Saccharomyces cerevisiae S288C: one gene and its partners. The gene in region 3 interacts genetically with the main gene of each other region. Each region holds a gene or a part of one and is shown on either strand. Other genes may lie near its edges. The genes, in order: YHL048C-A, PUG1, ZNF1 and RBG2.

The links.
Region 1: mutations in ZNF1 (region 3) and YHL048C-A together harm fitness more than expected from each alone (negative genetic interaction), as found in Saccharomyces cerevisiae (one large-scale study listed by BioGRID).
Region 2: mutations in ZNF1 (region 3) and PUG1 together harm fitness more than expected from each alone (negative genetic interaction), as found in Saccharomyces cerevisiae (one large-scale study listed by BioGRID).
Region 4: mutations in ZNF1 (region 3) and RBG2 together harm fitness more than expected from each alone (negative genetic interaction), as found in Saccharomyces cerevisiae (one large-scale study listed by BioGRID).

What each region holds. Positions count from the first base shown.
Region 1 is NC_001140.6:2,654-9,824, forward strand, and holds YHL048C-A (uncharacterized protein), read right to left. Parts: upstream 3,145-7,171; coding exon 3,010-3,144; downstream 1-3,009. Other genes in the region: YHL050C (uncharacterized protein), read right to left, coding at 18-658; YHL049C (uncharacterized protein), read right to left, coding at 1,073-1,888; COS8 (Cos8p), read left to right, coding at 3,748-4,893; ARN2 (siderophore transporter), read right to left, coding at 5,698-7,171.
Region 2 is NC_001137.3:555,373-563,088, forward strand, and holds PUG1 (Pug1p), read left to right. Parts: upstream 1-4,081; coding exon 4,082-4,993; downstream 4,994-7,716. Other genes in the region: TOG1 (Tog1p), read right to left, coding at 924-3,308; YER186C (uncharacterized protein), read right to left, coding at 6,333-7,253. UniProt on the Saccharomyces cerevisiae protein: Involved in inducible protoporphyrin IX influx and heme efflux.
Region 3 is NC_001138.5:23,829-32,271, reverse strand, and holds ZNF1 (DNA-binding domain containing protein), read right to left. Parts: upstream 4,041-8,443; coding exon 2,643-4,040; downstream 1-2,642. Other genes in the region: YFL051C (uncharacterized protein), read left to right, coding at 1,732-2,214; DAK2 (dihydroxyacetone kinase), read right to left, coding at 7,074-8,443. UniProt on the Saccharomyces cerevisiae protein: Transcription factor that regulates respiratory growth and plays a critical role in stress adaptation during non-fermentative growth.
Region 4 is NC_001139.9:842,133-849,528, forward strand, and holds RBG2 (Rbg2p), read left to right. Parts: upstream 1-1,721; coding exon 1,722-2,828; downstream 2,829-7,396. Other genes in the region: methionine--tRNA ligase MSM1, read right to left, coding at 1-419; transporter YIP1, read right to left, coding at 713-1,459; CBP4 (Cbp4p), read right to left, coding at 3,761-4,273; YGR174W-A (uncharacterized protein), read left to right, coding at 4,523-4,609; ERG1 (squalene monooxygenase), read right to left, coding at 4,801-6,291; ATF2 (alcohol O-acetyltransferase), read right to left, coding at 6,697-7,396.

The DNA of each region.
Region 1 (7,171 bases), on a different chromosome or scaffold from region 3:
GAATTTTATGAACATGCCCTAAAGGCACCTTGGATTTCTCCTTGATTAGATTAAACATCCGTGTTGGATAGCTGGATAGACCTCTGCTGAGATCTTCCGACCGTTTGAGCTCGTTGATGTCCATCGACTTCTTGGCCAGTCCCGTAAGCCCAATACGCTGCAACGCAGCATCAGCAACAGCCTCAGGGGCTGTGCCGCTCAAAAAGATTGCTTTCTCAAAAGCGTCAAAATCAAGGTTAGTTATGCCCCCAAATTGCGACTGCCGGTAGACCTCCGTTTCAAAGTTGTGCAACTCATCTACAATGAGGTAACCCAATTTTACGTTGTTGGTCCTAAAGGTGCACTCAACAATATTCTCCCACGCAGCTATCCTGTCTGTGAAATTAGTGCTAGCAAGATCATCGTAGATCCCCACGTATAAATCAGTAACGCCATCGCAACCTTCTTCAATAAAGTTTCTTACAGGGGCCACATTCAAGCAACCGCATCGGCCCAACCTGATCATGCAATTAGCAAGCAACACTGTGTACGGTACAAACAGAAACGACACATATTCCACGTCGCCCTTAGACGCCAGTGCTATCAAGGGGAGATGAAATAACTCCGTCTTACCATAGCCCGGTGGGGCCTGTACTGCCACAGAGGGTGTGTCTGCCATGTATATTTCATGACATAAGCGCAACTGATGCAAGTCCCTGAATTCAAAGGAGCTGCCAAAGAGTTTCTGGCCTGCGACGAGGATATCGTTTGTACTCTTGGGCTCTCGGGGCCTTTTTCGCGTTACTCTTGAAATTTTTTGATCATGATCTGAACTCGCCGCCTCACCTGCCACTACGTCTTCCGCATTCCGAGTACTAGAGAATGAACAATGGTAGTCGCTTTCAAGGCCTAACCATTGAATCCAGCGCTCGGAAGTGAGTCCGTCAAGCGTCTTTAGTCGAGGCTCCGATGAACCGTTCTTGTTGTATCGTCGACGTATACGTTGCGCTGTAGCTCTGGATAACGGTAAGCGTATCACCGTAAGCTCGTCAATTATTTTTGAGAGCCGCGGTCATTTTGTTAGTATCTCTTCTCAACTTGGGCAGCACACATGCAAAACATCACCCAATCGGTCCTTTTTGTTCATCATATCGTTACATATCTGTGAAAAGTACTTTATCTCAGTGGGTTTACGTGGGCATAGATCACGCTTCAGCCGCTCTGTGTCGACTTTCTTTTCGCCAGGTAAACTTGCTTGGTATGCAGAAAAAATCGATAGCTCATCTACGTGTAGTAACAAAAACATGTGGGGTGCCAAATTGTACCCATATTTCCTTATGGTGCTTTTCTGAAGACTCCTTACAATAGGTGCGCCAGAAACAAAGTCAGTGAAAGTACGCATCGTAGAGCTGTCGTTCGGCCTGGCACTCGCTATTTCGTGACAACGTTCCAGGACACGGAAACTCAACTCATTATAGTATCCTCTGTTGAGGTAAAAAAGAGAAAGGGTATCGTAATCCTTTCTATTGAATTTCAAAGTATGCACTTGAAACAACGTGTAGACCATCAAGTTGATTTTCTTGGGAATAAGATACTTTGAAGGGATTGGTCCGCCCTGGAAATCTGGTTCGTCTTCAACAAACGTCAGGAACTTTTGTACATTTTTCCCGACCATGACGGAAACGACAATTTTTTCAAAAGACCTTTTCCTATCCATTGCACCAGTTCTGAATTTTACCACTTTGATTAGGCCAGACTTTTCGTCTTCGTAGAATGACCGCACTTCCGTGGGGATCGATTCAAATAAAGTTATTGAGGGACAATGTACCAAGTCGTTTTTGTTATTTAGAGCCGACTCAAACTCGTCAAAGTTTGCTTTTTCAAACTTACGCCTATCGGAAACTTTCATTTTATTTTTGTAAGTTTCGAAATTAACAATAGTATGTTGATTGTTATGCTTTTTGACAAGAAATCCATCAATATAAACAAAAGATTGTCCAGTTTCCGTCTTATCATCATCTAAGAATGTAATAATTAAGCTACTCTATTGAGAAGAAGCAGAATCTGCGCTATGCAGGTGCAAATCTCCAGCAGCAGCAAAGAAAATTCAGTTAATAAGAAATCTCACTAAGATAAGCGACTGTCTGTCCCAACATAGAAAACAGAAGGATGTCTCATTCATCGCTTGATTTCCGGCCTGCAAAAATAAAGCAGTCGGTACGTGCTTTCGTTTTCAATTTCCATGGTGCACAGTATCTTAACCGTCTGCTTAGTCGAGGAGAACCAGGATTCTGTTCGTTGCTCAGCCGCTTCGTGGATAAATTTTATTACCCCGCTGAGGTAGAGGAGCCCTTTTTGGCGTACCAAGTCACTTCCTAATGCTCCATGTCCCACCCACCATGTTGAAACGTTGACAAATGATCGTAAATAATACACACGTACTTACCCACACACACCACATGCCACACTCACTTGCACTTGTATACTGGTACGGCATACGCACACGGATGCTACAGTATATACCACTCTCAACTTACCCTACTTTCACATTCTACTCCACTCCATGACCCATCTCTCACTAAATCAGTACTAAATGCACCCACATCATTATGCACGGCACTTGCCTCAGCGGTCTATACCCTGTGCCATTTACCCATAACGCCCACGATTATCCACATTTTAATATCTATATCTCATTCGGCGGCCCCAAATATTGTATAACTGCTCTTAATACATACGTTATACCTCTTTTTCACCGTATACTAACCACTCAATTTATATACACTTATGCCAATATTACAAAAAAATCACCACTAAAATCACCTAAACATAAAAATATTCTATCCTTCAACCATAGTACATAAACACACTCAATTGCGTATCAATACCACCATGACGTCATTAACTTAAATGTTCCTTAATACCGTCATACCACTATGCTCTATTCCATATATTGTAATATAACTGTACTCTATAGTCATACAGACGCTTTTACTTCACCCTATCTTCTCATACTATTGTCATAGAATCTCACACTGACGCATGATTAAAACGAATAATTTTTACTATAAGGCCTCCCATCCGTGCTCTACCCTTTTGTTTGCAATATTTATACAGAATCTCAAAGCAAGCGGGAGAAGTGGTGATTACCCAGATGTCATGCATGATCTGAGCACCACCGTACCTCTAGGTTTTGCCTTGATCAATTTTACAGTGACACCAAGCATAAGGATAAAAAATGGTATTGAAAGGTTGTCCACATTTGTAAGTAACTTGGTTCTATGAATCTTCATGTCAGATACGTAGGACGGACTCTTTCCTGTGTAAATATTTGTGACAGCTACGTCTATTTTCTACTAGATGTTTACACAGTTTTGTCACAGGAAATCTACGCTTAAAATATGTATTTCATTCAAGCGGTAACCGCTGTACGAGCAGTGACATTGCTGGTCGCACCTTAAATGTAAACCAAAGTTACGGCACACCGTGATGCACCCGCATTAAAGTTTTGTAAATTCGTTATTACGATTATCGAGTTGGCTAGATAGAAAACCGGAAATGAAATGGATGCCCTTTTCGAATAGCTGAGTTTCTTTGCCTAAAATAGCCCAATATTGTTTCCCTTTTTCTATCACGAGGTTACTGAGCCATTGCATGAACGCGCGCGCCTCGGCGGCTTTTTTTTTCTGCTGTGCTGTATAAAAGCGAAAAGTCAGAAGTTACTATTTCGAATAAAAAACCCCTCGAACTGCCATCTCACTACCGAAAATGAAAGAGAATGAAGTCAAAGATGAGAAAAGCGTAGATGTGTTATCCTTCAAACAGCTCGAATTCCAAAAGACCGTTCTACCTCAAGATGTTTTCCGAAACGAATTGACCTGGTTTTGTTATGAAATTTACAAGTCTTTAGCGTTTCGCATCTGGATGCTGTTATGGCTACCACTTAGCGTCTGGTGGAAACTTTCCAGCAATTGGATTCACCCACTTATAGTTTCACTTCTTGTCCTGTTCCTGGGACCATTTTTTGTCCTTGTTATTTGTGGACTTTCTCGTAAGCGTTCCTTATCGAAACAACTCATTCAGTTTTGCAAAGAGATTACTGAAGACACACCAAGTTCGGATCCTCATGATTGGGAAGTCGTTGCAGCAAATCTAAATTCGTACTTCTATGAAAATAAGACTTGGAATACCAAGTACTTTTTTTTCAATGCCATGAGCTGCCAAAAAGCGTTTAAAACAACCCTTCTCGAACCCTTCTCTTTAAAAAAAGACGAATCTGCAAAGGTTAAGTCATTTAAGGATTCCGTTCCTTATATCGAAGAGGCCTTGCAAGTGTATGCTGCAGGATTTGACAAAGAGTGGAAGCTGTTTAATACTGAGAAGGAAGAGAGTCCTTTCGACCTGGAAGACATTCAGCTCCCCAAAGAAGCTTACCGATTTAAGCTTACCTGGATTCTTAAAAGGATTTTCAACCTGCGGTGTTTACCACTCTTCCTTTATTATTTTTTAATTGTCTACACGTCTGGAAATGCTGACCTTATATCACGTTTCTTGTTTCCGGTAGTAATGTTTTTTATCATGACGAGAGATTTCCAAAATATGAGGATGATTGTTTTATCCGTGAAAATGGAACACAAGATGCAGTTCTTGTCAACTATTATAAATGAGCAAGAAAGTGGTGCGAATGGATGGGACGAAATTGCAAAGAAAATGAATAGGTATTTGTTTGAGAAAAAAGTCTGGAATAATGAAGAGTTTTTCTACGATGGACTTGACTGCGAATGGTTTTTTAGGCGCTTTTTCTATCGTCTCTTATCTTTAAAAAAACCTATGTGGTTTGCTTCGTTGAACGTTGAGCTATGGCCATACATTAAAGAAGCGCAATCGGCCCGCAATGAGAAGCCCCTAAAGTAGGAACAAATGTTCCTTTTCCAAAATATACTATGTGTAGTTGATCGAATATCAGTAAGTCAAAACGTATTTTACTTGTTTATTATTATTAATACTCCTTTTCGCATATGTTTTATCACTTTACACCATACAATAACCACTAAATTCAAAAACACTTATTTTCAATATTTGTTATAGAAAAATAACCACTAAAATCACCTAAATATAAAAATATTCTACCCTTTAGCAATAAGACTGAAACACTTTACTTGGGGTAAGAATACTGCCATGGTGTCATTAACATGAAAGTTCAATAATGTTTTCATACTAATCAATATGTACACAGGCTTCACATTAGAACATCATATATTAAAGCGGTAACTTAAAATCCAGATAATACATTTTTGGTCATATAAGTGCTTTTTTTTTGTAGGATATAATCGCAAATGATATCACTACACTATGACATATTGTTGACGTAGTAAATTACGATTTAGCTTATATGTCATAATGTAGTAAGTTTATATATGTTATGTAAATGTAAGAATTACATAGGTACTGTTTTTGTACACAGAAGCTATAATTTCTCAAGTACTACCGGATTAGAGGTTTGCTACAATACGTTTTCCACTATATGTTTTCTATGTGTGAAACATTACTGAAACATTACTCATATTACGCTTTTGTGTTATCACATTAAACATATACATGGTAACAAATATTACTATCACTTATCTTGCTTCATCTTATGTACCATACAAAAATTACTGCGCATATCAGAGATCATTTTTTCGAACACATATCCTGTTGGGGTTTTGTAAATCTTTCTTATGACCTGCCTAAGGCCTTTGCAAAACGTTTCGCGATCCAGTCATTGATAGGATCATCTTCCTTGGTTTGGACATATTCTCTGTCAGGTAACTTTTGGGCAAAATCTTCAGTCAACCGAGGATCTCTTACGCAGAATGTTAGAAGGAACATAGGCGCTGAAAATACAAGCGCAACAATAACTTCGTATTTTTGAACGTGTCTGTAAGCTTCAACCATCGCAGACCTAACTGGAGTACCCCAGGGATTGGAAAGAATAAAAGTTAGTGGTGAGCCATATGCTGCTGTAGCCAGGTCAGCGTCTCCCATGTAGTGCAATAATTTAGGGTACAATGACTGCGTCCATATGGCACCGGAAATGGCAGCTGCAACTGCTCCACCTATTCTGAAAACTGTATAGTTTAATGCTGTGACAGTAGCCATATTCTCATGGGATGTTACCGACTGAATAGAAACAATTGTAGGATAATCGAATAAACAACTACTGAGACCCCAAATAACCATACCAGCAATTATACCTCCATCGGCGTCTTGACCTGACCTGTAGCGGTAAAATAGTCCCATAGTAATGAAATAAAGTGAGCCACCAAAAATAATATACGACTTCAATCTAGATGATCTCGTAACGATGAGCCCCAGAAATGGAGCAACAACAGCAGTCACAAAAGAGTATAAGTTTATTATTCTTGTAGCTGAGGAAGCGCTCTCATCTACCGCAACTACTAGAATGGTGTAGAGATACCCAGCAGCCATTTGATATACAAAGCAGATAAAAAACATAATTCCCAATGGGGCCCACACGCCACGATCTTTTAGCAGCTTGAATGGAGCGAAAGGAACCAAAGCAAGTCGACTTTCCCAATATATGAAGCCTGGAACCAGGACAAAGCCAAGCACAAAGGGCCCGATAATCTTTGAATTTCTCCAATTTGTAGAGACGCCACCAGCAAGAGTGAGTGGTACAAGAATACAACCAACACCAGCAGTAAACAACAACACACCGACAACATCTAGCTTCCAGAACAACTGTACCAGCATTTGTACTAATCCGTGCGTTTGATAGTACGATTTTTCATCCTGTAATTCTTTCCATTCCACGTCATTTCTTACTTTCCATCTCATATGGAGCATACACAAAATCAATGGGATACAGCATAGAGGGAAAATGAACGCCCACATAGCAATATTCCACGACCAGTTCTCTAACGGGTTTGCTGCCTCCACTACACTACCTGAGACCCACGTAGTGATAATCGAGGGCCATGAAGGTATCAATGTGTAAAATAGCCTCCATTTTAATGAAGAATTATCAGACAACATCAAAACAACCTGTAGCATAACACCGACAAGTCCCACATAATAAAAGACAGCTCCAGCAGCATACCTCTGGACATCATATGCTTGAGATTGAATTATTGTACCCACAATGTAAAGTACAATGGATACAAGAAACAACGTTAGCCTTCCAAAGATA
Region 2 (7,716 bases), on a different chromosome or scaffold from region 3:
AGGTCGGTTACCAGCTTTACTAAATGTTTTCTATTGAATAAAATCATAGAATTCCATAAGTGACTGTGACATTTTCCACCCAGTTGATACAGTTCAATGAATTCTCACTGCAGCTATATTTTGGATGCTTCTCCACTTTGTAATATACATTGTGATGTTTCTTTGATGAAAGATATAAAATATTAAAAAAAGTTGATTCTTACATCTCATCTTTGTCATAAAAATCCTCTGGAATGGCACCTTAGAATTTCTAGGCACAGGAAACTATTCGATTTTTCTAATATATGAATCTAAGTCAAATTCAATATCTATGTTATTTCAGAAAGTGGAGTAGGTGTGCTTTTAAGAGAACGGATTTATGACGGAAAACTAGGTTAAATAGACGAAGAAAAGCTGAAGTAATTATCGTTTTGCTGAAACTTTCAGGATAATCCCTATCATAATATATTCCTATCAAGCGATGAGCAACGGAAAGCTGTGAATTGTGAATGTAACAACAAGACTATGTGAAGCAATTTTTAAGAGTTATTTCATTTAGCAATCTTTTGAGACCCGAAATACTCAAAGAACGATAAAATCGTGGGACGAATAATTAGACTAGCAACAATAAAAGGAGTAAATACAACTAGATTTGTGAGTGTGTGTAATTGCGTGTAGCTTGAAAGACTTACCACAGTGGTATCAACACCATACTCGAATCGTTCTAGATCTTGCATAAAAAAAGGACATTTACTTTTACTTACTAGTTATGAGCCACCTTTGATTTCATGGTACAGCCCATAACCTTCCTGAAAGCGGTGCATAACGTAAGGGACTAGATTAGAATCACAAAACCTTTTATTGCATTCTACAGTATTCGTCTAAATCAAGGGATTTTATTTCCTAATTGAAAGTGATCAATTGTTTAGGTGCATACTTGGTTTTTACTCTCCGAGGTTTTCTTTAGTAATACCAAATTCAGTGTCCTCCCAAAATAGATTGAGAAGGTCTGGTAGAGATTCTGCAGTCACAAAATTTTCGAGGCTACAAAAGTCCATGCCAACTGAAACACTGGTGCTGCTGGGTGACAACTTCTCATAACAAGCACCTTCTTGATTTTTTCCCTGTACGCCAATAACTCTATTATTCACCAAATCACCCATTTCCCTATCAAGAATGCTGAGAATTTCTTTACGGAAGCTTGATTCTTTGTGTTCGCCTATAATATTCCTGTACCAGATACATTCAATGTCCAACGCAGCTTGACCAGCATCTGAGCAAGCCTGGCCATATTTTTTCAATTCACAAAACAGCGATTCCTTAGCCATTTTCTGTGAACGTGTGTACATCTGACAGCAGATGCGTGTTAGGATGAAAGAAACCGCTGTTCCATTTTCCAACTTTTTAGAGAAGGCGTTGTTGCCCTTGAAATTAACATTGCCAGAGCTCACAAATAAGTCATTATATGAGGCTATCATGCGGCACATCAAGGATAAATAACATATCGAGTTCCTTCTAGGGGTCTCGATAAAATTCAAGGTAATATTCATCAAGATGGCATATATGAACCACGAACAACGGAAAATATAGAACGTATCTTCGTGCTTGAGAACATCCGTCAAAATATCTACAGATGCTTCAAAGGTTTGAAGCCTGATGTCCTTTACGCAGGAATCAAGTTCAATTCTCTCTCTTTCTTGTAGAAGATTTTGTATCCTTAAAATTAAACTCTCCATTCCCTGAAAACAACAAACCTTTGCAAATCCGAAATGGGTGTATAGTTCAAATACATTACTATTTTCAGAATATTGTTTGAGGAAAGGGATTAGTTTGTCTTGTATGCACTGAAAAATTTTACATATTTTTGAAAACTCTACCATAAGCTGTCGTGCGGTTCCATTTAGGTCTTTAGCGTTAGGAGTTGCAAATAATCTGTAGTCTGTAAAGTGTCGATTATAAAGCAAACCAGAGAATACCGCTGTAATAATTTTCGTTAATAGAATATAGCCGAAAGAGATACAAATATCAAACTTACTTGGGTCGAGCTCCACCAAGTTTATTAAAGTAAAACAGTCCATCGAATCATCTACCCCTAATCCAACCACATCCTTGGGAAAGAGACACGAAGTCATTTCATGTGGTATCAATGGCTGCTTACCGGTGACCAATGAATACCATCTATCCCACCAGTAGCAGTCCCACCATAACTTACGATATTCTTCGGCAGTGTCCTCATCCTGACCAATATAATATTCCCAACGATTCAAACCAGCATCCAAACTTCGCCTGGACATCGTGGAAATAATTCTTCCCAGCACAAAAGGATCGTCTATCCAATATCTGTGTTTCATCAACGAGACTAAGCCCTTTAAAATAGTCAAGTCGTACATTGTCGAAAATAGGGATCTTTCAAAATATTCAAGACAGAGACAAAAAATCAACTCATCTTGCTCAAGAAAATATTTCAAAGGAAGTAATTTTTTGGAACTTTTACGATCCAACGCCTTGTGGTGCTGTTCCATCAATTGTACTCCGTACATAAACCAGTCTGTTGGTTTATTGAATTTGATTGTTTGGTTAATGTTTGTATTTCCTTTGATTTCATTCGATATATTTGACATAATGTGTTGAATAAGTACGTCGTTCCCACATGAAAGTCCGTTTAGCTTTGAATAATACTCTAAAGGAGATATCGAAGTTACTTTAGGACCAGCATGGCTAGCAGAGCTAGCGTCAAGAAACTTCAAAAATAAATAGATAGTTTCTCTCGTCTCCCTATCATTCGAACATGAAATCAATTTTTTAGTTATCCAGCTAATACCCGTAGAGGCAAAATATAGCAACGGTGAATAGACCCCAAAGTACATACTGACATTTTGTGCAGTATTGCTTTCAAAAGCGTTGGAGAACCTATTCAAAGATTTTGACTGTTTCCCGATAATTTCTGTTTCTATCGATTTCAGGCCACCATACGAGCTAATTTCCTTACTGTCCAGATTGAGGTAAAGCTGAGGTTGTATTTTTTCAAGCTCAGTGCAAATGTTTGCTAGGCCTTTCTGTAAAGAGGCCGGTGCGCTTGGAGGTAACTGTGCCTTCAATTTTGCTATGCTGCACTTAGCATTATCCAAATCATTACTGAGACTACCAGTATAATTGAAAAAAGCCTCAATCGGTTCACGAAATTGATTTCTATACGTACATTTTGATTGAGACCCAATACACCCAAAACATGGCTTCTTACTGTTGCACTTAATCTTTTTCCTATGGCATCTATCACAGGCCTTGGTTACCCTAGATTTTTGTTTGGCTAATCCTCTTTTTGCTGCCATCTCAATAAAATATAAAAAGCTAAAAAGCTTAAAATTTAAACAACAATAATGTCGTTAACCTAATGCGCTTATTCGATGAGATTTGGATTTGCTTCTAGCTTATAGAAAGGAAGAAAGTTTTTACTGTTCAAAGCACACATCAAAAAAATTATTACCCAGCCTTTCAAACAAACAAAGTACTCCAAAATAGTTATTTTTGAATACTAGCAAACCAACCAATCACTTTTTTTGTTGGATTATCAAATAAGCCTAATCAGGTCTTTCATGCAGCGTTGAATCCAGGTTACTTCACCGCACCTTAAGTTAAGATCAGGACAGTATCGGCTGTTCCTGAGAAACCAGCCATATTCAAGTTTCGGTATCCTAACCGTTGATATTGTCCTTATTTGTCGACCTTCAAATATTGTGGCTGCCATGTATATGAGCGCCTCGATCTATTATGACTAAGCCATGCGATTGTCGTGTAATGGTATCGCGCATACTGAAGGTTTCAGCCCTGTTTTGATGTGCCGCGGCAAAGTGGTTTTTCTCCATACAGGATGAAGTGTTTCTTTCCCCATGCCGCGGCAAGCTCATCCTAAATAAATCTCAACTTTTCAACTAAATGTACTTCAATTGAACAAATGCCAAGACCTCAAATGAATCAGTATAAAAGCACCTACCGAATCAATTGTGGGATGTATAGTCTCTTGCCTCAAAATGTCCAGGATAGTAGGTTAATAGTGTCCAATTACATAGCTACTTAATCTTTTATTGTCCATCAACGTTCCAAAATGTCCACAACTGATTCGGGGTTCGTACTTTACCACTATACGCCAAGTAAAGCGGCTGCAATCGTATTTGTCGTACTCTTCATTATAATGACAGTCATTTTTGCCGTTCAAACTTTATATGCTGCGAGAAAATCTTCTAAGGCATTGAAAAATAATCCATTTGAGTCATCTGATGATAAGGTCGATAGTCTTGAGGATGCTGAATACAAGCAACTAAAAATCACACCCACAGTTTTTGCGTTTATACCTTTCTTCACTGGCTGCATCATGGAAGCTGTCGGGTATATCGGGAGGGCTCTATCCAGTTCCAATCCTGAAAGAACGACCCCATATATTATCCAATCTGTTCTTTTATTAGTCGCTCCAGCACTAATAGCTGCGACGATTTATATGATTTTTGGAAGGTTATTACATGTTATGAGGTGCCAATCTTTAATTTTGATTTCTGCACGCTTTGGTACGACTTTCTTTGTTGTGGGAGATGTGTTTAGTTTCTTTTTACAAGCTGCAGGTGGCGGACTAATGTCTAAGGCAGGATCAACGAAGACTGGTTCAGGACTCATAACTGCGGGTCTTTTTGTACAGGTAATTTTTTTTGGATTTTTCATTATCAATGAGATAAGATTCACAGTAAATGTTAAAAGGAGATGCTTATTTTACGAAGATATTTCCAGAAAGTGGATCTTTGTGAATGCTACCCTATTATTAAGCAGTATGTTGATCCTACTACGTTCAATTGTCCGAATAGTTGAATTTATTCAGGGATTCAATGGCTATATAATCTCTCATGAGTATTTCATATATGTCTTCGATGCTGTACCTATGTTATTGGTAATAATAGCATTTAGTGTGGGATCCTTTTTCGGCAACGTATTCGATGTTATAAAGGAGTGTCAAACGTTAAGTAATTAGATAATATATATCAAATTTTGATTTCTATGTAGTGCAGCCAATCAATTTTAACTTCATTTAGAATAAAAATCTTTCCTCTTCTGCTTTGAAGCCATTAAAACGAAAGATCTAGGCGGTACTATTTCTCCATTCTCAGCCGTACAATCATGCACCGAAAAGGAAGGCAATGTATTGAATTTTTCGCCGAGAACAAAATATTTGTAAACACTCGTTAGATTCCGCATTGTTAAGTGGCATCACAAACACAATCAAGATTAAGAGAAAAGTAGCTCGTTGAGAAAGATTCTTGTACATATCGGGATACTTCTGAAGTCTAATAAAACATTCAAATAAAGACAGACTGGATAAAAGATTCCTGAACGTCAAAACTTATATCTTCTTGTCCCTTGGAATGTCTCTCTGCTCTTATATTGTTGCTGTTGAGTGGTCTCATGACAATAAAGTATGTCACTGAATTGAAGACTACTGAACCATGGCAGCTAATACAATCACGCCCATCCAGAAAAGTGTCGTGTGGCGAAAATTTTTGTTCACGTTGAACAGAGGGTACTGATTTCAAAGTGCTCTTAAGTCGTAATGACGGCCCTAATAATGATTTCCAGACCCTTTGGAAGGAGTTTCTTCTTTAAGTACTGCCCTCCCTGATCTATATTTGTAGGAAATTTTTAAAGTACCTAGCCTTTTTCTCAGTCACGGCTGTAGAGTGTACACAGAGCCTTTGAAGTTTGGTGCTTTACGAAATTAAAGCAGTCACCTATGTCATTTAGCTACAAAAAACTCGTCTAGAAGAACAGCACATCGGCCTCCTATATCGGTACTCATCACAGAATCAATGTATAGTATGTGTCAAGGAGAATGTATTAACGCCAAATTAAAGGCACACTAACATGTAATGAAGCTGGTGTTATATATTTTTTTTCAATTGACGTGAAACTCAGTGTCTTAGAATTATTTTTTAGTTCAAAGAGTACGGCTATTGAAGTGAGCCACAATGTCATTTAGCTTTATAAACACAAGAGTAAAAGTGCGCTTGTCTTCGCCTCAATGAATTAATGGAGCAGAAAATTTCTTAACGGTCAGCAATACTTGAAAATAATTTTAGCAGTTCAAACTTTCGTTGTTATCTTGATACTGAACTCTCCTTAGTATTCATATAAATGATTCTATTTAATAGTCCCCTCCGCAGGGTAATTTTAAGGCCTTCTTTTATTTCCAAAGGAATTAGTATATAGCATATAATATAATTTATCACCAAATCAACAGAAAATATCATAATAGCATTAACCCGCAAGAATTTCTTTAAATGAACACAGTTTTCTGCAGTGTTAAATAGAAATTTCTAATTATCCTGCATCCAAGACATGAAATCGGTATATTCAAGGAAATTTATTAGCACTGAAATGCATATATTCATTTTTGTTAGCCACGGAACTGAACTCTCATTATAATGTGGCGGTCCGGTTTCCCCTAAAAATAATTGAGGGCATATATGCATATCTTTTCGAGACTCAGGTTGAAAAAGAGCCTCCTTAGTTCTGCACATACATCCAATAGTAGGGCAGGAGTCCCAATCAAATTTAGGTATGTCCTCTATGCTATCACCCACCTCTGGTAAACAGCCAATTGCGGCCTTTATGATGAACAGTGAGGAATTCAAATTAAATTTACTCTCTGAGGTGAAAACCCATTTCATAATAACCTTTTTATCCTCTACAACATATACTGATCTAATTTCAGAGCATCTAACCAGTGTCAATATCCTAAAATCTTCCTTTTTTCCGAAGTTGAGCTCTAGTATGTGGGATATTCTCTCCTTATTGCGATAATAGCTTGTTTTCTTCACCTTAACAGTGCAAAAAAGAACTTTAAACAGAGTGAAACCGTCGCACTCTCCTTTTACCTCATAATCCGACTCTTCAGGGAAGTCCCCATTTTTCAATATCTCGTATTGATAAAAAAGAAAACCCACATAATCTCGCCTAACAAAAAAAGGCTTCTTAGTGCGGAAGGCAAATAACGGCAAGCCCTCTCCATCCGCCGTAAATGACTTGAAGGGATGCTTCCTACTTGCAAACAGATTTATAGATCGTTGTGATTTGAATATTAGATCGTCTTTGAAAACACGAAGCTTGACCATTCCAGTTTTCGTTACAGTATCAAATTTAAACTTATCCGGAACATCCTTCCTGTCTTCGTTAGCGTAGATTTCTTCTTCTATAGCCTTTACTCGAGGCTCGTAACCATCAGGATGCCACAGCATGATACTGTTTACAGAACTCGATCATATACTAGAACCTTTGACTTCGGTAATCAGCCCGCATCCTATGCTTTCATTTCCTTGGCGTATGTTACTGACTAGTTTCCTGGCTTAAAATAGGAGAATTCATCCTCTTAGTTATTTTCTTGGTGGACCACGTGCCTTGCTTAAAGCAGGGCGCTGCCGTTGTTGCAACAGCATTTTCAGACTTTCCTTTAGGTAAAAAAGGTCAACCAATAATTTTATTTTATTTCTGATGATGGTTGCGCGTTCCAAGAAAATCAAAACCTTGGGCCTCATCCTCTTCTAAGACGTATAATGCAATCAAGAAACCCTTCCCAAAACCTAATAAAGGCTTGTTATTAGTTTCAAATTCAGGCAGAACTCGACTTGGATCTTTTAAACTTTTAAAGTCGTAGAAAATAGGTGCATAATTAGCTAAAACAGAAGAGACTCACCATTTGAA
Region 3 (8,443 bases):
AAAATGTTAGTCATTATAGAACACCTTGTGAAATTTCGATCGATATCAAAAACCCACACATTTTGTAGACTTTATATGGGGAGAAACTATCGCTCTATCCCGCCGCCTCCCTAAATTCCAATATCCAGACTTTTATGCTTTTCAAATCATGCCATCTAATACTAAAAAGCGCAGGCGTTGTGCGCTTGGTTTGTGTAAGTTAACCAAAAAAGTTAAAAGTATAAGTCTTCTGCATCAAACTAACAGAAAAAAAATTTTTTTTACACTTGAAATGGTTATTGTCTGCTTATTGTGAAGTACGAACATCCTAACAAACGTTGTATGTTGCTTTCTGCGTTTTTCCTTACAGTGCTAGCGTAGAGAATATGAAAAAGAGGGAAATTAAGCAACTGCTTTTTCTATGATTTACCACTGTGAGCCCAAAACTTAACGTGCACCAACACGTGTGCGGCAACCTGGCTGGCCTCTCAATGTAGAAGTAACTGGTTTTCTTCTTGCCCTTTATTTTCTTGTTTTTTAGAACCAATCTCGAGCACTTGGATAATGCAAAACAAATACAATCTATGTCTTCCACACCATCATTTTACTATGCCTGCCACCATACATTTGTCTTTTGCACCATATCTTCATAACCTGTCACCTTGAAACTAAAAAAATATTCACAATGGTGCATGCTTGAAGCACAAACTAGATTAATTTGTTGAGTAAATCATGTGGTTCCAAGGAACAAAAAAAAAAATGCATTACATCACGTTCCTTGCTCTGTATCTCTTCACCTGCAATTACTCAAAAGAAAAAAAGAAATATAATTTTCCTTTGAGCACCCTTGGTAACTTATCTAAGAACACGCGATGTAATCGAAATTTAATAACCTAAAAAAGAAATAGAGATCGGTGACGTTTGACGCTAGCCAATCTCCACGAGATTTATCTGGAAGGGCATCACCCGTCAAAACACTAAGAAATTTGACACCTTATTTTTTTTTCTCCGAAACGTTCTGAGACGTTTCTTTTTTTTTCAGGACGCCACCCTAAATCCGAAAAACCTTACTTGGCATTAGTGTTGTAAAAATTTCTTTTTTCCATCGTGGTTCTGAAAAGCTTGCAGAAAAAAAGTTCGAGAACGTTTTCGTATGACTTATTAAGCTGCCCTTGAACTTGCCTTCCCTCTTCTTTACTATTTTCAGCCAGGGACAGAAATAAAGCAAAATCGTTTAACTTTTATGACCGTAACAGGTAACAATATCTGCTCAATTCGGTTAGTAAAAAAAAAAAGGTTATCGTAGGTTTACTATTTTCACATCGGTGCATAGAATCTATACTCTACTTCCTTTGGAGGGAATTTAGTAGTGCTCGATTAGCAGATAACAGCGCAGGGTTCTATGTAGTACGAAGCACTATCAGGTTTTTTAACGTACGTGAGTTGTTTTTTGTTTCTAATTTTTGGCTTGCCTGGGATAAACGGTGCCCATCAAATTATTAAGACCTGGTGAAAAGAGCGTACCTACATGGGTATCGGGGTTTTTGCCAGAAAGAGCTTTAACTGCAATTGATGCCTACCGGAGATTATTTTGATATCAAAATGCAGGAACGATATCTACTTCCCTAAAGCAGAAAACAAAACATTTTTTTAAAAGTCTTTCTTATATAAAGGTAACCTTCATTTCATGATAGCCAGATGATAATCTTAATGTAACAATTGGAGGATACCAGCATCCCTCCACACCTTCAAATGTCTATACCCCATTCCGTATTTTCGGCACTCTTGGTCTTCGTGGCGCTAGCTACTACAACCTTAGCCAGTACAGAAGCTTGCTTACCAACAAACAAAAGGGAAGATGGTATGAATATTAATTTTTATGAGTACACAATAGGCGACCAAACCACATACTTGGAGCCTGAATATATGGGCTATGAATACTCCAATACAAAGAAGTTAGGTTCCGTTAGCGGACAGACCAATCTCTCCATATACTATAGTCCGCCTTGTGAGAGCACTCCTACCTGTGTGACTTATGCAGTTTTGAAGCGTGATGAGGATGGATATGATCCTTGCGGACCTCTTTATGAAACTAAAAAACGTGACACTGAATACTGTGACCCAAATACTGCCTATTGGAGTTCTGATCTTTTTGGTTTCTATACTACTCCAACTAATGTAACTGTGGAAATGACAGGGTACTTAATATGGAGTATGGGCAACCGACGCCGTTGAACCTCTCCTTGGAGATTCTGATAATTTTATGACCATGACTTCTCGTGCACCTTACAGGAAACTTTAATGGCCTGATAAGTACAGCTATATTGTGATCACAATTATTAAAAACTAACTCATTTCATCTATAACCAAGTACAAATCGCACGACTATCATGACGATAAAAGCGTATATCCTTGATTTAATTCACATCACAATCACCCCCCTTGAAAAAAAAATAAATTTTTTTTCTTGCTATAATAGCATAATTGTCCACAAGTTCACTATTAGTGCTATCATTCTTCCCCACTGCCGCAAAATTGCAAAGGAAATAATTGTTTGCCCTGCAGGAACCATATACTAAAGAAGAAATAGATGCTATTAGCCTCTTCAACTGTCCGTAATCACTACATCTTGAAAGGTAAAATGCAAGTAGCAATGTGTTTACTTAAGGAAGCGCATCTACATCTTCTTTAGAACCATCTGTCGATTCAAGCGGATTAGAAAGAGGAAGCGTGATAAGCGCACACTGACACTTTGTCGTAAACTTATCAACTAATGTGCTATCACAATGCTTAAGAGAGAAGACAAATTTGGATATATCGAACAAAAAATTCCAAGCCTCCGACTCTGCATTTTGATCGTACTGATTCACAACATCTACCAATGCGTCGGCTATTTCTAGTGCTTTCACTGATATCCCTGGACCGTGAACTGCATAAAGATTTTTTGGGATTAAAAATGTGTCTTCTAACATGTCTCTAGCAATTTCTACTGGAATATGCGTATTCTTGCTATTTGAAAGGAAACTGATTCGCATACCGCTTATTTGAAGCACTAGCTTCCAAGCAAGTGTTCTAATCCAATGCCGTGAAAAAGATATGTCTACATAGCCGTAAGACCATGGTTCTATCTCAAGTGGCACCGTATGAAGTTCCCTCCATATCTTTTTAAGGGAGTCTTCAGTACAGGTTACATTAGCAGAGTCGGTAGCTAGAGCATCAAAGAAGCATTTTCCCGGTACAGTAAATACCCTAATCATCTCCAAGAAGCTGTCGAGAGATAGTCGGGGGTCCGTTACGTTCTCCGGTTGTGGTGGAGCAATCGTGGTATCCAGGCTCGTGGCGCAATGCGTATACACAGAAAAGTATCTTTCCGTTAAGAGAAGCAAATAATAAACTTTCCTTCCAAGCTGCTGCTCATCGAAAGGAAGAAGTTTCAAAGTTTCCTCGCGATGGAACCCCGCCAACTTAATGAGCCCCACGGCTTCACAAGAAAGCCGATACGAAGTTCTTGAGTTGGACATCTGTGCGTAGCAGCGGTTTAGACAATAGTACGTCATAATCTTGAATATATCACTACCGTTAAAATCGTCAAATTCTTGGCGTGATGACATGCAGAAACTGGATAACTGTATCCCAGTAAAGGTAACCCCTCCTTCCGACTCAATTTCAGTCTGCAAATCGCTAAGCGTGGCGGCAGAAAGAGATACCAGGAACCAATACACACAGGTTTCGTCATATCTTTTCTCTAAAAGTTCGTAAAGATCATCATAACACAGCAAAGGCCAGATCACATACAACTTATCATTATAGAGCCGCAGACACTGATCAATTAGTGCCTTTGGAACCTTCATTATGCCACCACTACTACTTTTACTAAATACCTGTACATCATCTACTTTCTTTAAATTTCTCACCTTGACGGGTTTTGGACCTCTTTTCTTCAAAGGTCGAAGATATGTACATTGCAGATTGTGTTGAAGACAACATTTACATGGTTTTTTACGATCACACTTTACTCGACGAATGCAACAACAGTCGCACGCTTGTCTATTGCGGGCCATCTTCGAACTAGAGCTCTTTTACTTTAGCTCTTTTGACAAGACAATGAAGCATTTCTTGAAGGTTTTCTTCTTTTCTCCGTATTTAAGTCAACAAGATATAGCTAATTTATTAAGCCGGGGGTGGGGAAAAACGCGGTAGTAACGTGGGGTACTTTAAAGTGGGGGAGATGGCACAGACAAAGCCGCAGGTACCTCGAGAACTCAGGGGAAAAAGGAACGCAGTTCAATAAGCTACCGATTTGGCAGATCTCAGGAGTAAAAATATAAATCTTAGTGCACATACAAGTGATAACTGCAACTCCAGATTTTTCTTTCGGTCGATTCGTTGATGCAACAATGTCGAAATTATAGTTAGGCGTTTGTTCCTGTAATTTAACTTCAAGTGGAGGAGTCAATGTTCTTTCCTATGTTCTATTTGTGGGATAGAAAAGTTAAAAAGAAGGTTTTTGAGTATCCCAGTGATAGTGCAGTACTACTTCTGTGTATTCCCGATTATTACAACGGCGGAGTTTTTTTCGCATAAACTCAGACTACTAAGTAACTCTCGAGCATCGTGAAGATCCTGATACTTTATCTATGCATTACGTACGGAACGGAGTGAGGCCTTTCTCCAGAAAAATCGTTGAGATGGCATGTAGGTTCTAGATTTGTGACGACACTCAACAAGAAAAGTTTGAGGTGAATATCTTACCCGCGACATCTGGAGCGAGAAGAAAGCCGTAATCGATAACGTATTCTCTCAATGCTGTGGCGTTTCAGTAGTATTTTGTTATTACCGACGAAAACGGTTCCTCAAGAAATAAAATATATCTAGAGGTAAGTTGCAAAACGCTAGACTATTTATGGCAAGATTAGTATTTGCTGTCGTGATATCATAAGTAGAGACACATGTTCAGCTTCTCACTTGAATTTAGGTTAGAACAAAATCTTTAAACAGCAGTTACAATGAATGTTTGGGAGACCTAGTCAGTCTCCATACTGCCAAGAAAAAGGTTAGTCGAACTGGAAAAACAAGGCTGTACTGCACCCTAATGTTTCTTAGTAAGCAATTCGCTATCGACGCCGAATACCATGAACATCAACCTTGTGAAAGCTTTCGCATATTGGCGCTCAAGAGATATAGACGGTACTAGTGAAAGAGAGACAAGGCCGCCGGATTACTTGCTCTCGTCATTGTAATTGTTCAATTTCACAGACATTTCTCTGGCATGTATCCATTGGGGCACCACAATAAGGGAATATTTTACAATATCGTAAGCTGTTCGTAATACGCGGCTTCTCTTTACTCAAAGCCCAATGAATCCTGGCTTCGAAAATCATACAAACTGTGAAATCTACTTATTTGAAATGACAAACACTGCTTCCCAGTCTGGAGGCTCTCTTTGAGGATAACTAACATGTATGGCTAAAAATAGTTAAAATAATTGAGACGACATTGCACTTGCTATAATCAGACTTCAATAACATATGCATACAAGAAACTTCTCTTTTGAAATAGGAGCGGGGCTCCATCACAAAGAGATTGAAATTTGATACTAGCTCTAAAATCGAGGCAGGGATGTTCCAATGATCGAGTTTGTCATGAAATATAAGGATGTTCACGTCAAGCTCGAGAAATGTTTCAAAATACCGCGAAATAACTCAAAAAGCTGGGTCACGAAGAAATGATTCTAGAAACAGGCGCTTATGCTCTTATATAATGAGATGTCTACATCGTCAGAACTAAGTGCGAAGAATACGGCCTACATTAGAGATTCTTCAAGGTAGTGAAACGTATTCGTGGCAGTGGTTATGGAACTGCCTTACGGTTGATTCAAAAGACTCATTGCATACTCAATTTAAAACGGCTCAAATCATTTGAAAAAATAATAGGCAATATAAAATAGAGAAATCACAGCACCTTGACGGACTGATATTACGAATAACGAGTATCATTGCCAAAGTTTGGCGTATGGGCGACGTGCGTCCATGCAAATCTACAGTAGATATTTTCAAAAGAGATCATTGTCAAAAAGATAACTAACTACTCATGCTTTGAGGGCATGCAAAGTTTCCAGAAAAAAAAAGATGAACCACACTTAAGCTGAAGCAAATTATAAGTGTTGAAATGACTAGGCGCAGTTAATACGCAACTCAATCAGTCAACACAGGCTGGTTACTTTCTAAGTTACAGCATAAGTTTAGAGTAATTATTGAAATCTGTTGATATAGGTTGATTTCTTAGATGCATGAAATGCAGCAAGATCTTCATATGATTTCAGAGATTAGTCAAAAAGTTGTTAACAGTCATGCATAATATCACTAATTGGTAGAACAAGAATCAACTACTTTATTTGTCAATATTTTCAGAGAAAAATTGATGTATAGGGTTGACCATAAAATAATGAATGACACCATTTTTTTTTTGAAAGAGAAAACAAGATACAAACATTTAAAATATGCTGTTGAGTTCAATGCCTTCCATGAATTAATAAGATTAGGAAAAAAAATTACAATACATTCTATACTTCTAATACTACGATCTTTATTGAAATCGAATCCGAAATAAGAGAATCATAAAACTTAGATTGCTATCCTAGAACTTGTTCATAGTATCAGAGAATGTGCAGATCTTCTAAAAAGGAATTGAGACTATTCATAGGTAAGAAAACAGCGGGGAAAAGAAAGTTAACACCTGTTTGTTGACTTGCGAGAAAAAAGAGATTGGAATGGATTTAAACACTCCGATTTAATTTAAAGAAAACAATGGCTATTCAAAAAATCTTCCTGGACAAATTATACTTCCAGACAACACAGGGGAACGGAGAAGGAATCAAGAAAAGTAATTGTAGATTGCAGAAAGAACAATTAAAAGCTGCAAGAAGCATTACTTTTTAGCTTAATTTGCGGTACTTCATCAATTCGTATATCTATAAAAATATATTCAGAGACACAACTAGTTCACCTTCAGTTGGAGTATTCAATTTTTTAAAAAGTTCAAAAATGAAAGCCTTTAAAGCTGTTATGTTTGGCTTCTAGTGTGTACGAGCAATTCTAGTACCCAGCAGCTGTAACAAATCCATCGAGTAGTGCAGCAAGACCAACTGCTCCTGGATCTGGTAATCCACCTTCGCTGTCGAGTTTTCTCAGCTCCTCCTTAGCCACGTAAGAAGCACGCCCAACAAGGGCATCCATCTTCCTTGTCTTTTCGGCACCATCATAAGCAGCTTGGGCGGCGGCTCTGGGACCCTTCCCGGCTTTCAGCGCTTCGACAAAAGGTTGCAGAGCATCGATCAGAGTCCTGTAACCAGGACGGGCTCTCGTATACTTATACAAAGCATCTAGTGCAACGTTTGATGCCTTTTTGAAAGTTTCCGCAGTAAGTTCCTTGTCCCCAGAATCCCTAACTCCTTGTGCGAGAGCAGAAAGATAGATAGAGTACAGACCACCGGACGTACCACCCATAGAATCCTCAACCATATACGCAATATCTTCGATACCAAGAGCAGCATCCTCGAGGCGCAACGTATGGTTTTTAATAGCTTCTTCCAATGCTTCACCACCGGACACAAGAGTAGTTCCGCAATCACCATCTCCTGCAATGGTATCGTACCAAGTAACCTTTGGTTCAACCTCGTTAATTTTTGCAATCCCAGCAAGCAAAATTTTAGCAAAAGTGTCATAATCAGCTTTCACACCCGAACCTTTTTCATTCCTCAATGTCTTTAAAGAGGGGGCGGTGGGAACCTGCCCTTTGGCAAGTACCTCCCAATCTTTGGCAGAATGGTACATTTGATTCCATCCACTCGCTGTGGTAGGATAATCGAAATACTTAAGGATATCGCCACCAGCTTTTGAAGCGTTCATAAGAGTGATACCAAACCCAGGACCATTCAATGCAGTAATGAATGCTCCAGTAATCGTTCTCTTGGGCACAATTTGATACTTATCAATCAATTGTTCAGAAATGACCTCTGCAGCATAACCCAATTCTAGATTAGACATACCACCCATGTTGTTAACCATAAGAACTACGTCCTCTTTGGGCTCAAACTTCACATAAGAACGGTCTTCATCCTCATCGAGAAGAAGAGGAAGCATCTGGGAAACGAGCTCAGAAATCGATGGCAGCGGAGAAGACTTATAGGTACCAGACTCGTTATGAATACCCATACCGATTTCATACTCATTCTCGCCCAAAATGGCTTCAGGTTTGTGGCCAGGAACCGTGCAGTGATCAAGAGATGCCGCAATTGTGACACTATTGTCAACTACTGACTGAGCAACTTCGGCAACTTCTGCCAACTCCAGTCCATGAGAAGCGGCTGCCCCAGCAATTTTATGCACCAATACGGTGGCTCCGAGACCTCGACGCCCGACTAAAGAACCTTTCTTCTTACCGACAGAGACATCATCTCCTACAG
Region 4 (7,396 bases), on a different chromosome or scaffold from region 3:
GAAATGGAATACCAACCCTTATGTTCGCCCATGTAAATATAGCCATTTTTCAAACAAAGTTCCCATAATTTCATCACGTTTTCAATGTGGTCAGGATCCGTAGTCCTTATAAATCTTGTATAATTAATGCCATATATTTTGTCTAATTGAACAAACTCTGGGTATAGCTTATCGACGAACTTTTTTGGCTGATCGAAGCCATTGCTTTCACTAGCACACTGGATTTTCAATCCATGTTCATCAGTACCTGTGGTAAAGAAGGATAGATTACCTTTAAATAATTGCCATCGATGGTAAACGTCACTTAATAAGCTGGAGTAAAGATGGCCGAGGTGCGGTTTGGCATTGGGATAGAAAATTGGCGTCGTTACGTGGGAGACCTTAGAGTACAGACGATGCACAATTGATCGACATTGCATGTTTTCTTTCGATCAAAACCTATGCTTTCCTTATTTACCTCTGGAGAATAGTAACATTAAAATTTACATTCTTTTTTCACAGTTGTGCGGATTTATTTGTTTGAAACCACCATTGGACTACGTTTTAGTTTTTAAAGAAAGAGAAGGCACTTCGTAATCCAATGTTGCCTAGTACTGGTATTGCTTGCACTATACAAGGAAGTAAGTGTGATTATGTAATGCTGTATACACTCTTTATTCAAACATAGTTCAGAAAAACATATATACAAATATCGCCCCTAAGCCAATTCCCTTCAGACAAAAATTACCATGAGGGCAAAAACACTGTAGAAAATCAACAGTGGGTAGGCAATTAGCAATCTTGCATTTTGCAATTGGAGCAAAGAATTTAAAAATCCAGACGAGGTCCAAGTACTCCAAATTACAAATAGTACTGATACAACATAACCTGTAGTGTTGTTCAAACCATGGAAAATGCCCAGTAAAGAAAGGAAACACAGAGGCAAAAAGCAGTATCCTAAGATGGACGCTGTATTGAAAAATTGTAGGTTCGTTTGAGTGGAAGTATCGTTATTGCTCATTAATTTCGATAGATTGTGCAAAGAAATGGTACCAAACAAAGCGACACCATAGATATATCCAAAATGAACCTTTCCAGCCATCAATAGAAAAAGTCCGAATAACAAAAAGAATATCAAAGGCCCAGCCAAATCTGAATCGTTTAGAATTTCTTGTGGCACACCACTACCAAAACGTATTGGTATAAGAACCATTTTAGTTTTCGTTATGATATGATCGAAATTTATTCCAATTTCCTCCAGTAATGGAGGTTCATGTGGATATCCCTTAGTTGAAAGAGCATGTAAAATACCTACAGGCAAAGGGTCGGGGGCAACACCCAAATTGTTATCGTTGCCAGTATTAGAAGAACCGACGGTATTTTGAAAACTCATTGACCCTTGGGGAACGGCAAATTGTGCAGAAGGCTGATAAAAGCCACCGCCATTATTAGCATTGTTACTAGTATTGTAGAAAGACATCTCGAGAGGGACTAATAGTTGTCTTGCAGTACTTCCCGTCCAATTTGTAGCTGTTATAAGATGACTTGGTTCGTGTCACGTAGTTACCTCACTCAAATAGCAAAATAATCAATGGTTACCCGAAGTGAAAATTTTCGTGATAATAGCGATGAGATTTAAACCCAGTTATAAAAGTCGTACAATATTGAAGCTGTTGATATTGGAATTGAACAAGTACTAACGAGATACGCATTATCAAAACTAACGTAACAAGCACTACAAAATGGGTATTATCGACAAAATCAAAGCCATCGAAGAAGAAATGGCCAGAACCCAAAAAAATAAGGCCACAGAACATCATCTGGGTCTTTTGAAGGGGAAATTGGCTAGATACAGACAACAACTGCTAGCTGATGAAGCTGGTAGTGGTGGTGGAGGAGGGTCTGGTTTTGAAGTGGCAAAATCAGGTGACGCTAGAGTAGTTTTAATAGGTTACCCCTCCGTCGGTAAGTCCTCCTTATTGGGTAAAATTACCACCACCAAGTCTGAGATCGCTCATTATGCTTTCACGACATTGACATCCGTTCCTGGTGTATTGAAGTACCAAGGTGCAGAAATCCAAATTGTGGATCTTCCAGGTATTATTTATGGTGCTTCGCAGGGTAAAGGTCGTGGTAGGCAAGTTGTTGCAACAGCAAGGACCGCAGATCTAGTATTAATGGTTTTAGATGCCACAAAGAGTGAACATCAAAGAGCATCTTTGGAGAAGGAGCTGGAAAATGTAGGCATCAGGCTTAATAAAGAGAAACCAAATATTTACTATAAGAAAAAAGAAACTGGTGGCGTGAAAGTTACGTTTACCTCCCCTCCAAAGACCAATTTAACCGAACAGGCAATCAAAATGATCTTGAGAGATTATCGTATCCATAATGCAGAAGTTCTGGTAAGAGATGACCAATGTACGATTGATGATTTTATCGATGTTATTAACGAACAACATAGAAATTATGTCAAATGTCTTTATGTGTATAATAAGATAGATGCAGTATCATTAGAAGAGGTGGATAAACTTGCCAGAGAGCCAAACACCGTTGTTATGTCCTGTGAAATGGATTTGGGATTACAAGACGTCGTTGAAGAAATTTGGTACCAGCTGAACTTGAGTCGTGTGTATACAAAGAAGAGAGGTGTTAGACCAGTATTTGATGATCCTCTAGTGGTAAGAAATAATTCCACTATTGGTGACTTATGTCATGGTATCCACAGGGATTTCAAAGATAAGTTCAAATACGCATTGGTTTGGGGTTCTTCTGCCAAACATTCTCCTCAGAAGTGCGGCTTAAACCACAGGATTGATGATGAAGATGTAGTTTCTTTATTCGCGAAATAGTATAAATGAATAGATTTTAAAGAAACATGAAAAAACAAGATCAGCATCGAGAACTGTAGTACGGAGCAGAGATTTTGCATGACTAAACGGACTCATTTTCCTTGTAGTAGAAATAAATGCTGAAAATAGGTTTTTTAGTGAGAACCGGAAGGTGTTACTTTCATGGTATATTCGTATATACTTTTATAATGTAATTTGAAGAGCTCCGTTCATAAAAATTGTCATTCTGGGCTTCAAATGAATAAATAAACCCGAATGACAATGAAATCTCGAAATTATAATAGTGGTACCTAGTGTAGTAAGTATAAAGGAACCTTCTCTGTTGTATCTCAGAATGGGATACCTCAGTATGACAATACATCATCCTAAACGTTCATAAAACACATATGAAACAACCTTACAGCAAAACGAACAGAATGAGCAACATGAAAATAAAACTCTGCCTTCCTTAGCTAACCTACTCTAACGTATAAGTATCTGAACAATTGGTTTAGATCCAAGATTCCGCGCTTCCACCATTTAGTATGATCCATATTTTATATAATATATAGGATAAGTAAGATCCCGTGAATCAAGCTGATAAACCGTTTTGACAACTGGTTACTTCCCTAAGACTGTTTATATTAGGATTGTCAAGAACCTTGACATTACCCCATTGCATGATGCAATAATCTCATATAAATAACAAGCGCAAGTGGTTTAGTGGTAAAATCCAACGTTGCCATCGTTGGGCCCCCGGTTCGATTCCGGGCTTGCGCAATGTTTTTTCCATCCCCAAGTATGGGAACTAAAATAGCTAAAAATAAGTATGAAGTTATATTTTTAAACCTATTTACAGTGTACAAATAAATAATATATCATAAATGACACAGACGTATGTTTTAGGATGCAAAAGTTCAAGCTGCCCTTCCTAATTGAGTGACCCGACCCATCTACCAGAAGCGCCACCAGCTTTTAACCTGCTTATCCTGGACTATTTCCTTTGTTTTCTCCTCCGTTTCAGATCTTAGCTGAGACAGTTCATTTCTGATCCTAGCCAACTCTTCTTTTTGCACCTCCTCCGCCCTCACCTTAGCAAAGTGATCTCTGCTTTGAACGTTATCACCGTTCCTTTCCCAAGGTGATTGAAGGGGGCCCGTCTTCCAAATTGGATCGTCACTTTGAGAAGTTTCCTTAACAATTTTCATCAAAGCCTGCTGCTCCGACTGACGTAGTTTTTTCTCCCTCTCATATTGTAAACGTAATTCTGGGGAAAGCTGGCTGATTAACTGTTGATCTGTTGGCGTTGTGTACTTGAAAAGCAGAAACCCGCTTCCAATAATAGCGCCACCAATTGCATAGACTTTCAACCAACGTACCCACAATGGTCTTTCCATACCCAAATAATGCTTATACTGTCTTTGTTTTGCTATTACTGCCTCTCTAGGAGTTATCGCGCACTGCATGTATATAAAATTTTATCTTGATAAAATACCCCGGGGGATGAGCAAAAAAAGGGATATGGGGAATGAAAAGTGAGATAAACTAGCAATAATCTATTCTAATAAGTAGAACATTCACAAAGACTACTATGGTGTAATTCTGAAAGGATTTACGAGAGCACAAATACTATTATGTATAATTCTGACTGCAGAATCCGGCAAGCTTGATTTAATATCACTTAAGGAAGTAATATCGTTAATTGATAACCGAATATGAATCTCAATGCATATTTTGAAGCATATCAAGCCATTTTTCCTTTTCTGTTGGAGGCATTTTTAAGGAAAGAACAAAAAGTATAAAACACTTCGGTTAATAATAAATGATATGTGAATTTTTTTGAAAATATGTAAAATAAATAAGTAATAAATAAAAATAAGATGTGTTTATCGTAATGTACTATACAAGCCTTCCAAGCCGACTTCTGTAATAAAAAAAAAAGGTGCAGCTTAATGTTTGACGGTTCCTATCCTCTCTCCCTTATAAGCTGTAGTTAACCAATCAACTCACCAAACAAAAATGGGGTGAATACTCTAATAGCTGTGATCAAAATCATAATACCTTCCAATAAAGCCATTGGTAATCCCAAGAAACCACGTTCTTCCATGTTCAAGTAAATGGTGTAAAAAGCGACAGCGAAGAAAACCCTGGTCAATTGCAAAGGCTTTGGCAAGACACCAGACAGAAATTCAACGGGTTTGTTGACACAATCGCCACCTCTTTGGAAATATTTGAAACAACCTTTTTGTAATGCCTTCAAGTTATCGCTGTCAGCAGCGAACAAAGAATACAAAGCCACTGACAAAACGTTAATAACGGAATCGTAACTCTTTCTTTCGAAATGGTAGTCTAGTAATTCATCCAAAACCTTTTCACGGTCGCTGAAGTCTAGGTCACCTATTTTCTTAATCAACAAGACAACATCATGCAAACCGACAGTCATACCACCACCAGTCAATGGATGTCTCATATTTAGAGCGTCACCGATAACACACATACCAGTGACGTCGTTTTGTCTAGCTGGCAAGTAGGAGTTTGGCATAGCTCTAAATTTACCTTGGCTGACGGCTTCATCAAATGAAGGACGTAGACTCTTTGGAATGAAAGGTTGGACATCCTTAATCATCCAACTCTTGATATCAGCTGGGACCTTTGGAGAGTTGTAAGCACAAAGGATTCTTGTTTCTTCTGGACTGATTTGGTAAACCAAGATTGGCATATGATCACTACCAAGAATAACGTGACCGTGCATAGGAGCAGGATTCTTAGCATTGAACAAAGACATACCGACAAACGAAGAACCGACAGTTGGAACATGGTCTGGGTGCAATTCCTTTCTGAAACGTGAAAAGATACCGTCACAGATAAATGTCAAGTGGGCTTTGAATTCCACCTTGCCACGGCCATCAATGTCAACCTTGGCACCAACAACCTCATTCTTTTCATCCTTCAATATCTCAATACAGTTACCTTGCACTCTAGTAACATTTGGCTCTTGAGCAGTAATGTTTCTCAAGTTGTTCAAGAATCTACCATGAACAAAAGCAACACCCCTTTCTCTTTCATCATCTTCGTAATCCTTGATGTGAATAGTGCTGTCTTCCAAGACCTTGTCATTACCATCTTTGACCAAGTCCTTCAATTTTTCAACTTTAGGGATATCGGCCTTGTAAGGGTATGGAATATCAACTTGTTCGCCGTTGAAAAAGACGGTATAACCGGTAACAGGATATGCTTCGATGTTGTTGATAGATTGAATCATACCCAGACTTCTCAATGCTCTAACACCACCTGGTTGCATCAATTCACCAACAATTCTATCAGGCATAGCCCAGTCACGTTCTACGATAAGAACTTTCTTACCCTTTCTTGCTAGACCAGTAGCAACACATGGACCGATAACACCAGCACCGATGACAATCGCATCGTAGGTAATTGTGTTGTCGGCATTAATCAATTCAGGTGCAACGTTAACAGCAGACATGACCCTTTTCTCGATATGTTTTTCTGTGATTTTTTTTTTTCAATTGTTCGAAATAACCTGTATTGTTCAATACTGGACAATTGTTCTGATATATATATATATATATAATTTTCAATGAAAAAAAAAAAAAAAAGAAAGAAAATTAGAAGCTAGAAAGAAATAAGGAAAAGGAAAAGCAAACAACAATAGGAAAAAAAAGCATAGAAACATATAATAGATTAAATACAAAAGATTTATTATACATGCGAGGTAAGACTATTGTCTAAGACTTATACCCGACCGAGAGCAGCCACGGCATGCATCGACTACGAGCGTATTGTGTTATATCAGCTCTGTCCGATACACTGCTTGCCTTTTGTACGAGCTCGGCCGAGCTATACGAAGGCCCGCTACGGCAGTATCGCATTAAAGCGACGCAAATTCGCCGATGGTTTGGTAGAAGAGCTTGCAGAACGATTCCCATTCGCCACGATCCCGTAGAGTGCCCTGAACCACGCTCATGTCCATGTTCATACCATTCACGTTTGTGGAGCAAACGTTTAGGCCGAACGCAAATCTCAAGGCGCCTGCAGACTGCGAGAAGATTAAATCCCGAACGTAGTACGGCTTGGTCGTATCTTGCGAGACAAGTCCTGTATTACTGATGATTGCACCGCCTCTTTGCTGGTGCAAATAAGAGTTGGCAAGAAGGCTGTCTATATTCTTGTTTTCAACGATAAAATCAAGTTGTAGGACCCCCAGACCAATCAAGTGGTCACCGTTGTCGTACGATTCTAAAAAGCGGTCATAGTAGTATTCGACAAGACTCCAAAACTTGTCATTGTCACCTTCGGGAATGTCGAATGAGGAGATTAGATAGGCGTAATGCGAACCTCCAACGTTGGAGCCGTATTTATAAGAATCTCTTAACTCTTCATCGTTTGGTAAAAACCTTCTTGCGTTGCTTGGAATAGCCACATCGAACCCATACTCGAGAAGAGATTTTGTGAACAGCTTATCCAGTCTATACAGGGCTACAAGAAAGCACGCTTGAATGAAGGGTGTTAGGGTGCACCCATCGTGAACATTTTTCTTGATCTGAGCTCTGATTTGTTCTACTTGCTTA